2 linked regions of the Xenopus tropicalis genome follow. The protein of the gene in region 2 purifies or fractionates together with the protein of the main gene of each other region. This does not show direct contact. Links are inferred from orthologs where the notes say so. Each region holds a gene or a part of one and is shown on either strand. Other genes may lie near its edges.

The links. The genes of interacting proteins can lie anywhere in the genome.
Region 1: the proteins of l3mbtl3 (region 2) and samd13 purify together in Homo sapiens (affinity purification with mass spectrometry; 3 studies listed by BioGRID and IntAct, counting the BioPlex papers as one, with this or other methods). This does not show direct contact. The link is inferred for Xenopus tropicalis from reciprocal best matches to the Homo sapiens genes L3MBTL3 and SAMD13.

The regions. Positions count from the first base shown.
Region 1 is NC_030680.2:77,728,275-77,732,864, forward strand, and holds part of samd13 (sterile alpha motif domain-containing protein 13), read right to left. Parts: intron 3,547-4,590; coding exon 3,435-3,546; intron 2,237-3,434; coding exon 2,093-2,236; 3' UTR 1-2,092.
Region 2 is NC_030678.2:83,384,300-83,389,374, reverse strand, and holds the start of l3mbtl3 (lethal(3)malignant brain tumor-like protein 3), read right to left. Parts: upstream 3,625-5,075; 5' UTR 3,588-3,624; coding exon 3,523-3,587; intron 1-3,522. UniProt on the Homo sapiens protein: Is a negative regulator of Notch target genes expression, required for RBPJ-mediated transcriptional repression. It recruits KDM1A to Notch-responsive elements and promotes KDM1A-mediated H3K4me demethylation.

The sequences.
Region 1 (4,590 bases), on a different chromosome or scaffold from region 2:
GTTTGATAGGGAGGCACAAATCAGACCTGGGCCTGCATCAGAGCATGTTATGTATACTAGGGAATAATGCTCATTCTACTTATACTGAAGAAAATATTAGGCTAACTACTGTTACTAATACTGTTATTGGGTCTCAAAATCTATATACTGTATATTCTTTTATTTCTGTCTGAAAGAAAAAATTCAGAGTACCCTGATTTGTACTTGTACAAACCTGCTTTGTAAAATACCAGTTTTCTCAGGCTGCAAGTAATCAAAAAGTTGTAGAACTTGAGATATTGGTCATCACTGGCAGGTTTGTATCTGTGTTATAGAACTCAATAGGCTATATATTATGAGCTAAGGCCACATGGGGCTCTTTCTCAGTCTGTATAAAAGCGCAAGCTGAGAAACAGCCCCTCCTATTGTAACCATGTCCTCCTGTGTCTGCACTCAGAATCACTGCATCAGCCTCGATTCAGACACACAAAGCATATTTCAGTGCAAAAATGTATCACGTTTTGGTGCAAAAAAATTCACTCTGCGTGTCTGAATCCAGGGCAACACGGTGGCTCTGGGTGCAAAGGGGACTGCTGATGCCAGTGGATCAGCTGATTCCTGGCCTCCATATAAACACAGGCTTAAAATCAGCACTGGTGGCATAAGCCTAACCCTATCAACAGGAAATGGTTGATTCTAGGAGACTTGGAGACAAAGGTTTATAGGAGCATGAAACCAGAAATGTGCATTGATCAGTCCTATTTTTTTTTGTGAGTTCTATATGGTGGCCTGTAACTTATTTTAAGGAAATATTTGATTTTTTTGGAAATTTTTATTTCTGTGGAAATATTTTAAATGTGCCTAACTGAGTACAACTACAAATATCATTTCTGCCCCTGCCACCTCACACTAACTCACGGCCTTCGCCGGGAAGCTCCAGGCACAGCAGTACTGCTGGTTCTTGAATAAAACACTGTATCAGGGTGTTTTGATATAATGGCAGAGCTGGATCTACTATAGAAGAAGGATGCTGTATTTTTATTTTTAGCTGCACCTATCATTGTCCATGTCCTGAACCCCAACATAATGACTGGTATTTGTGCACAGCCCAATGTTTAATGCACAAAAGAGAATAAGCAGCAATAAAAGTAATATTAAGTCTCCAGCACAAAAATACATATATTCTATTTCCTTTTAGCAGTGCCAAACGATCAGTAAGGCTGCCAGGAATGATCAATGTAAACACATAAAAATATATTTTGCATTAATGATTGTCATCTTAAGAATGATATGTATTTGAATGATTCCTCAAATATATATGTATATGCAGAGCTTCAGTAATTGTTAAACTGCTGATTCTAGATCTGCAGTTTAGTGCTGGAGAAGTTCCAGTTGATAGAGGACTCCACAGATGTTGAACCCCACAATGCATAGCAAAGCCTTGGGCAGGGCAATGTGGTTCAGGACATACTGGTTAGTGAACAGAAACCCAACAGACAACTTGGCTAGCAACATCTTCTGATGCCTATACAGTCAGTTCATCACTTACTTCAAAATGCTGTGGAAATGATAACACTTTGAGCCATCAAATAGTTTACCAAATAAAAACACTGGCTTGCAGGAGATGATAGGACTTGTAACATTTAACCAGCCACATGCTGTTAGCACTTGGATCAAACTGAAATTTCAATGCACGTCTCAAGCAGTATTGACTAGAATCACATTTACACAGTATTAAGTGTGTCTTCCTGTAACTCGAGTTGCCATTGTTTCTGACAGACCTAAACATACGGCAAAGGAAATATTGGAGCAAAATCTAGAAAAATGTTCATTGTTTTAAATCAATAGTCCTTTAACATTCAAGCAGTTCAATGTTTTCTATAAAACACTGGAGATTTCTAGAGAATCATCAACTATTTTCATTGCCTTTTCCTCAAGTCAGCAGAAAAATGCCAGTGTACTTCCCTCTGAAAACTATCCGGGAAGTTCCAAAATATTTCTGCACGCACAGCTTGTCAGTTTCTCTTTCAGTTCCTAAATCAAGTATTTGTCTGGGTGGAGGTTCATATTTGGTTAGGAGGTGGCTATATTCTACACTCCATTTGCTTCATTCTTATGAAGAGCTGCTCTTTAAATGTTGGGTCTGCAAAGGCTTCACGTGGTACTCATAGATTTTGAGTGCAGGGCCTAATTTTAATGAAAGTCCAGTCAAAACATCATTTCTTGTCATAAGCAGTAACGACTTTCCATCAATCTCCTTTAAAACAAAGAAATAGAAAGTACAGTCATTATTTTTGCTTGCCATTTAATCAAAACCTATTTGCTATTGATAAAGAATCCTTATAATCAATCCCAAATCAATGAAACAACTATAAAATCACCATCTCTAAAACAGCATGTGTGAAGAAAATCGGAATTTGCAGAAAAAGTGCTAATTTCTTCCTTTGGGGCAATTTTTCAAAGGAAGCCACTACAACATGCATTTCATCTATTTACATAGCATGTTTCCTAAAGAAAAAAACTGGGATAGTGTCTGTTTGTTAAAGGAGAAGGAAAGATAAAAACTAAGTCTAGGTAAATACAGCCATAAGCACTTACAGAGTCCTCTATTTAAAAGAAACACAGGATTTCTTGTCTCTTTTTTTTGTAAACATGATGTTTCAATGTCTGACTTCCTCTCTCAGAAACACCCTTAATTCCAGTGGCCAGAGTCTGCGCAGCTCTCTCGTCTCTGCTGCTCCCCCCTCCCACCAGAACGCTAAGAACTCCCTCCCCCCTCCCTTAGGAATGTGTGATCTCAGATATAACGGCTAGACTACAGTAAGGAAGCTACTTAAAATGGCTGCTGCTGTCTTAAGCTGTTTACTTAGGTATAGTAATGGTTCCTGCAGAATAAATATATTGTTCTAGGTGGCACTAATGTGGCAAATCTATTGGCAGTAAAATGGCAAAATGACTTTCCTTCTCCTTTAAGCCTTGACTTAATACAGAGATTTTGTATTGTAAATTGCAATAAGAAACAGACATGAAAGGAAGATGAAGTCCTTACATCTTTCTTTCTGTTACATGGCATTAGAGCCCTAATATTAGTCTGAGCCAAGGTACAGTATACATTGCAAAGTGCTGCTGTATGCTTGATTGTCACTCTTATGGGACTTTTAGAATCTATGGGTAAAAGAGTAGCACTGTGGCTATGATACAATTGCATTCTGAGAATTTAGCTCTGTTGCTAGCTATGTTGTTAAGTCCTGCAGTAAAACCCTCCTCCACTTGTGAACTGCCCAACACTACTCCACTTAGTGGGAAAATGTACAATGTCCAGCTGAAGCTGAAGTGTACATTCTGATTGACGGGTCGCTAGGCAAAGCATCTAAAGAGGTGCAGAATCCTTTTAGAAACTATATGCAGTAGAGCCACATGAGAACATCAAGTTGTAAGGAGTCCTTTCCATGTACCTGTTCCTTAAATGCACTAGCTTGTTCTTCAAATCCTGCAGTTTTGAAATAATTTACAACATCATCCACAGCCCAGTGAGCTGGATCAGGCGGTCTCCCATTCTCCACTGAGCTGTAATGCATAAAGGCAGAAAAAGAATATAATAGAAACATCATTTATAAAAGTGAGAAGGTTAAATGCATTTATTTTAACTGTATAAAAATAAATCACATTACTTTGTCAGATGGATTTATATATAGAAGTTGAAATTAATTTCTACGATCACTTCCAAATTTACTTCTTTATTGCCAGACATGAATCTGGTCAGGTTGGAATTGTACTCATACTCACAACTTTATTTATGTGTAAAGTTGTTTTAAGGACTAAAGCACATGAAACACTTTAATCAGTGCCAGGTATGAATGCCAGCTAGAACTAACTGAATGAGTTATTACAGTGCAAATATGCCCACATATGCCTTATTGCCATGGCATAAGGTAATGGGAATGTACCACTGTGGAAGTGCTAAAGTTGACAGGAACAACATAAGACGTTTGTGTTGCTAACTGGATGCCAAGCAGAGGTAGGAGTAAAAGTAGATGCATTAACGACATTGGTGAGAATTCATTCTCTTTGTTGAGGAGATGTATTCCAGATTCCTGTGGGTCCCCTATAGTGCCAGGCTCAATGAATCCCTGTTGAAGCTATTCTTCAAGGACAAATTTGGAGGCTAATATTGTATTTTCCCTTTGGCACACAGACAGACAGAGTTTCTTCGGAAAATAAGCACAAAGGTGTAAATGACCTTGGAGTTCAAAAAACTTGGAAAAAAGTATTGTGGTAAGTACTGTATATACTTGAGTATAAGCCGATCTGAATATAAGATGTGGTACCTAATATTACCTAAGAAAACTGGAAAAACTTATTGACTCGAGAATAAGCCTAGGGTGGGAAATGCAGCAGCTACTGCTAAGTTTCAATAATCAAAATAAATACCAATAAAATTACATTAATTGAGGCATTAGTGGGATATATGTTTTTAAATATTTGTTTCAAAGAAAAACAGTAAACTAGCTCTGTAAGCGGAGAAGAGGGTCAACAAAACCAATATGGTATCAACCCCCTTAGCTCAATCAGCAACCAAGCTAAAACACAAAGTTAAAATCAAAACGATAT
Region 2 (5,075 bases):
AAATTTTCTATATTTTTATATGAATGTGACCTAAAACATCTAAAAGTAGATTAAGAAAACCTCGTGTAACAAATGAAACAAAATTTATTAGATTTCGCCATATATTTATTGAAAAAAATGATCCAATAACATATATGTATCTGGCAACAGTAAGTGAATCATGCTCTCAGTATTTGGTGTGACCCAATTGTGCTGCAATAACTGCAAATAAATGTTTGTGGTAACTGTCAGTCCTGCACATCGACTTAGAAGAATTTTAGCCTATTCCTCCATACAGAACAGCTTCAGCTCTTGGATGTTGGTGGGTTTCCTCAAATGAACCACTAACTTTAGGTCTTTCCACGACATTTCAATTGGATTAAGGCCAGGACTTGGCCATTCCAGAACATTCACTTTATTCTTCTTTAACCATTCTTTCATAGAATGACTTGTGTGTTTAGTATTAGTTGTTGTGCTGTATGAACCACTGAGATTCAGTTCATGGACAGATATCTTGACTTTTTTCTTTAGAACTCTCCGGTATAGTTCAAAATTCATTATTCCACTAATAATGGCAACCTGTCCTGGCCCAGATGCAGCAAAACCAGCCCAAACCAGAACACTCCCACAACCACATTTCACAGATGGGAAAAGGTACTTATGCTGGAATGCAGTGTTTTACTTTCTCCAAATGTAACTCTCCTCATTTAAGTAAAAAAGTTCTATTTTGGCTTTATCCATCCCCAAAACATTCTTCCAGTATCCTTCTCATTTGCCCCCATCATGTAATAACAAGTGGTGGGGGCAAAGACAAGGGAGCGCAGAGTAGGAGTAGGCAGGAGAGGTACCTGCCTGGCACACCCATTGTTGCACCCTAGGCAGGTGCTTCTTCTGCTTACCCCTAGTTCCGGCGCTTCCCTGGTTTCCTTTGTAACTTCTCGGACTATAAGACACCTTCCAGATGGAGTTATTTTTGATGGTCAACCACTTCTGGGTAGGGTAACAACAGTCTTAAATTTCCTCCATTTGTATACCATCTGTCTGACTGTTGATTGGTGGAGTCCAAACTCTTTTGAGATCATGTAATCTTTTCCAGCTTTATGGGCATCAACAACTCTTTTTTTTGAGGTCCTTAGACACCTTGTTGAGCTATGATACACATCCACAAATGTGTTGTATGTGTGATCAGGCTTTGCTGGTACCCCCTTTTTATTTTATATAAAACAGGGTCTCTAACTCACACCTGATTGTCATCCCATTGACTGAAAACACCAGACTGAATTCACCTTCAAATGATATGATAATCCTAAAGATACACTTATTGTTGCTACATGCAGATATGTTATTGGATCATTTTTTTTTCAATAAATACATGACCAAATATAATAATTTTTGTTTCATTTGTTACACTAGGTTTTCTTATTACTTTTAGGACTTGTTTGAAGATCAGATGATGTTTTAGATCAAATTCACAAACTTCCAAGCATCACTGTACGTATGTATGTGTGTGTGTGTGTGTGTGTGTGAGTATGGTGTATATGCTGTGGAAATGTGCTGCCAGGAATACCAGGAATTAAATATTGAAAAAAATAATAAATATACCAAGGAAAACATTTAAACAAGATTTTCAGATTATAAACTCATTTGGACAATGCTTTACCTCTTGCATTAGTTATTGGTTGTTTCTGTATGTAAATTTGTATGTTTAATCCATACATACTTATTATTAGTTTATAGGGCTACATATTGGTGCTTTATAAATATGTGTTAATATTAATAATTAGTCACTCACAGCACATTATAACAAGCATTTAAAATCTTTTGGTCATATATAGGAATCATTGACAAAACCTTAATTGTATCCAGTTAAAATTAATTACATATATAACATATTACATACTAATATTTTATATATATATATCTATATATATATATATATATATATATCATGAAATAATCCATGGCCGGCACACCCTTAAAATTCAAAAAAAAACCAGGTTTTTAAACAATGAGTTTTCAATAAAAAAATTTTTTTGAATTTTAAGGGTGTGCCGGCCATGGATTATTTCATGCTAAATACTCAGATTTTGGCTGTGCACCCCACAGAATACTAAAGCCTTGGAGTGCAGACACCATCAGGACTGATATATATCCCCTTTCTGACATAGGGTCAGTTGGGTTTATGTAAAAAAACAAGGATAAACACTTAACAGTATTCCTCAGATTGAGAATAATACATAATCATCTGCTTCTCTGCTTCTAATTAACAGGGATTATTTTTCACTATCCATACAACCGCTCCTTGATCTTTTGTCATGTGATATTATCCAGAGACGTGAAGTTCCTCTCAGAGGAACTCCTCAGAGAATTTATGCACCTCCCACCATGGAAGCACAGGGACTTCAAGCCCCAGAATGTATCACCTTTATATGGAAAAAGATAAGGGAGGGGTTATATGAATCTGCCAGCCTTAGGGGGATGGGGAAATGGTCCCTGTGAGCCACAGGCACACTACTGTGTATTTCCTGGATTATTAAAAAAAAAAAAAAAGAAAATTATATATGGGCAGTTCAGATAAGTAATTTCAGTTTGTGAATTTCATATATTAATATGAATTACACAGCCTTGTACAGTGACTTCTACTGTATATTGAGAGTTGGTCCCTAAGAGCCAGTAACTGACAGCTGTACAGATTGCATGGTGCAAAACAGCTGAAAAAAATGGGGAGCTACAAGGGCATCTTTGGGGGGCACAGATCTTCACTAACAAGGTGCTGTAGTGGCTAGTATGCAATCCCAACACCTGATGTCCAGCTAGGCTACTGTGTTAAGCTTCCTAAATTAGTGAAAAGTATGTTAACATCTCAAAATGAAATATATTTGTTTTGATGCATTCAGCATGCATTCCCATAGTTGGATATTTAAAGAGGTGTGCGGTGGCAAACCCTTCCATTCCAGTCAAGACACAAGTAAAGCAGAGATATACTCCTAATATAAGACTACAGCATTTATGGCTTATTTTAGGAATGTGTAAAAGTGTAGTTAATGTTACTACCTAAAACTAATAGTAAAGTTGCTGCAAGTTTGCATGGAAGGTTTTCTCTGAAAGCATTTTTAAAATCTAGTTATATAGTTTATATAGACTGCTAATTTTCTATGCTAGTATTGCAGGGAACAATAATTCTTATTATGTGCACCCCTTTCTCAATATATAATACTCCATACTCCTCAGCCAGTTTTCTGGCAATCCTGGAGCAGTTTATTGTGTTAAACTGATCAACCTGGAGATGATTAAAGTCCTGAAACATTCTGTAATAGGAGGGAGGGGGGATTGCTGCGGTAAGTCAGGACAGTGTGCAGCAGGTTAGGAGTGCTGGGGTGCAGCTTGCCTGCCGGATACTGATCCGTCACTGTACTGCTAGCTCTCTAATAAGCATCACACACAGTTTCCTGCAATATCACGGCTCTCTATTCCTCTGGCTGCAGCTATTCCCTCATTTCCCCGTTTGCAAAGCAACACTACCCCACACACGGCAAAACTCCCCTCTCACTATGCAGACCATCACTTCTCACCACTCTTCTCTCTCCCGGAGCCACCTCTTCCACCATAAGATGGCGTCAGGGGGCAGATCCTAAATTCACACCGCCTCTCTTTGTTGCTACGGTAACACAGCACATTCCCACCCACTGCCCCCCGCCAATCAAGCAGGGTAATTTAAGGGGCAAAGAGTGGGGCAATTAGGAGTTCTGTTTTATTAGTTGCAGTCTGAATGATTATAAATTTGGTATGATAAGGATAATATAGTAGCCCTATGTGGTAACTCCAAAGTTCTGAGCATTATTGAGAAATTGAGTTTTCAAGAGAAATGTAACCACATTTATTATGGAGACTGGCATTAACTAAAAAGCTCGCCTACAGGGGGCGCAAAAGTAAAATAAATAGCTGCCACCGAATTGCGTTCGATTAAGAGGAGTGGTTTATCCGTGACTGCCCGGCTATGGTGGCTAATGCGTGGCATTCCAGTGCTTTGTACAGCTACATAATAAAGCATAGCATTGAAGAACAAAAAAAACATGAGTCTAGGTTGATAAAATATGTATACTAGGGGAAAACAGTATTTCTGAAAATAATCACCCAGCAAATTAACTTTGTGGTTAATTTAAAGGACATGTCAAAACCAAAAATAATGTTTTGCCTAATAAAAGAAAACATAACTATAAGCAACTTTCCAATATGCATTTATTAAACATTTTAGAGCTTTAAAAGTAATTTGTAATTGCTATAGAAAGCAGCATTTGCTGAACCCCTGGTTATGACTTTTTAAACAATGTAGGTCAGGCTCCTCCAGCAAGGCAGGTCTGTCAGTCTGCTGCCTTGTGTTACATTGTTTCAAACCCCAGAGCCACCAGGGCAGAGAGTAGAAAGGACAGGCAGACACTGCTTTAAAGTAACAGTAACACCAAAAAATGAAAGTGTTTTAAAGTAATTGAAACATAACGTACTGTTGCCCTGCACTGGTAAAACTGGGGTGTTTGCTTCAGGAACACTACTATAGTTTATATAAATAAGCTGATGTGTAGCCATGAGGGCAGCCATTCAAGCTGGAAAAAAGGAGAAAAGGCACAGGTTACATAGCAGATAACAGATAAGACACCATTGTATTCTACAGGGTTTATCTGTTAGCTGCTATATAACCTGTGCCTTTTCTTCTTTTGAATGGCTGCCCCCATGGCTACACACCAGTGTTTATATAAACTCTAGTTATGTTTCTGAAGCAAGCACAAAACTTTTACCAGTGCAGGGCAGCAGTACATTATAGTTTAGTTTTTTTTAAATTTATAATTTTTTTGGTGTTACTGTTCCTTTAAACAGCAGCTATACAGTCATGGTCAAAATTGTTGGCACCCCAGAAAGTATTTCTCACAGAAAAGTATTGCAGTAACAGATGTTTTGCTATACATATGTTTATTCCCTTTGTGTGTATTGGAACAGAACAAAAAAGGGAGGAAAAAAAGCAAATTGGACATAATGTCACACAAAACTCCAAAAATGGGCTGGACAAAATTATTGGCACCCTTTCAAAATTGTGGATAAAT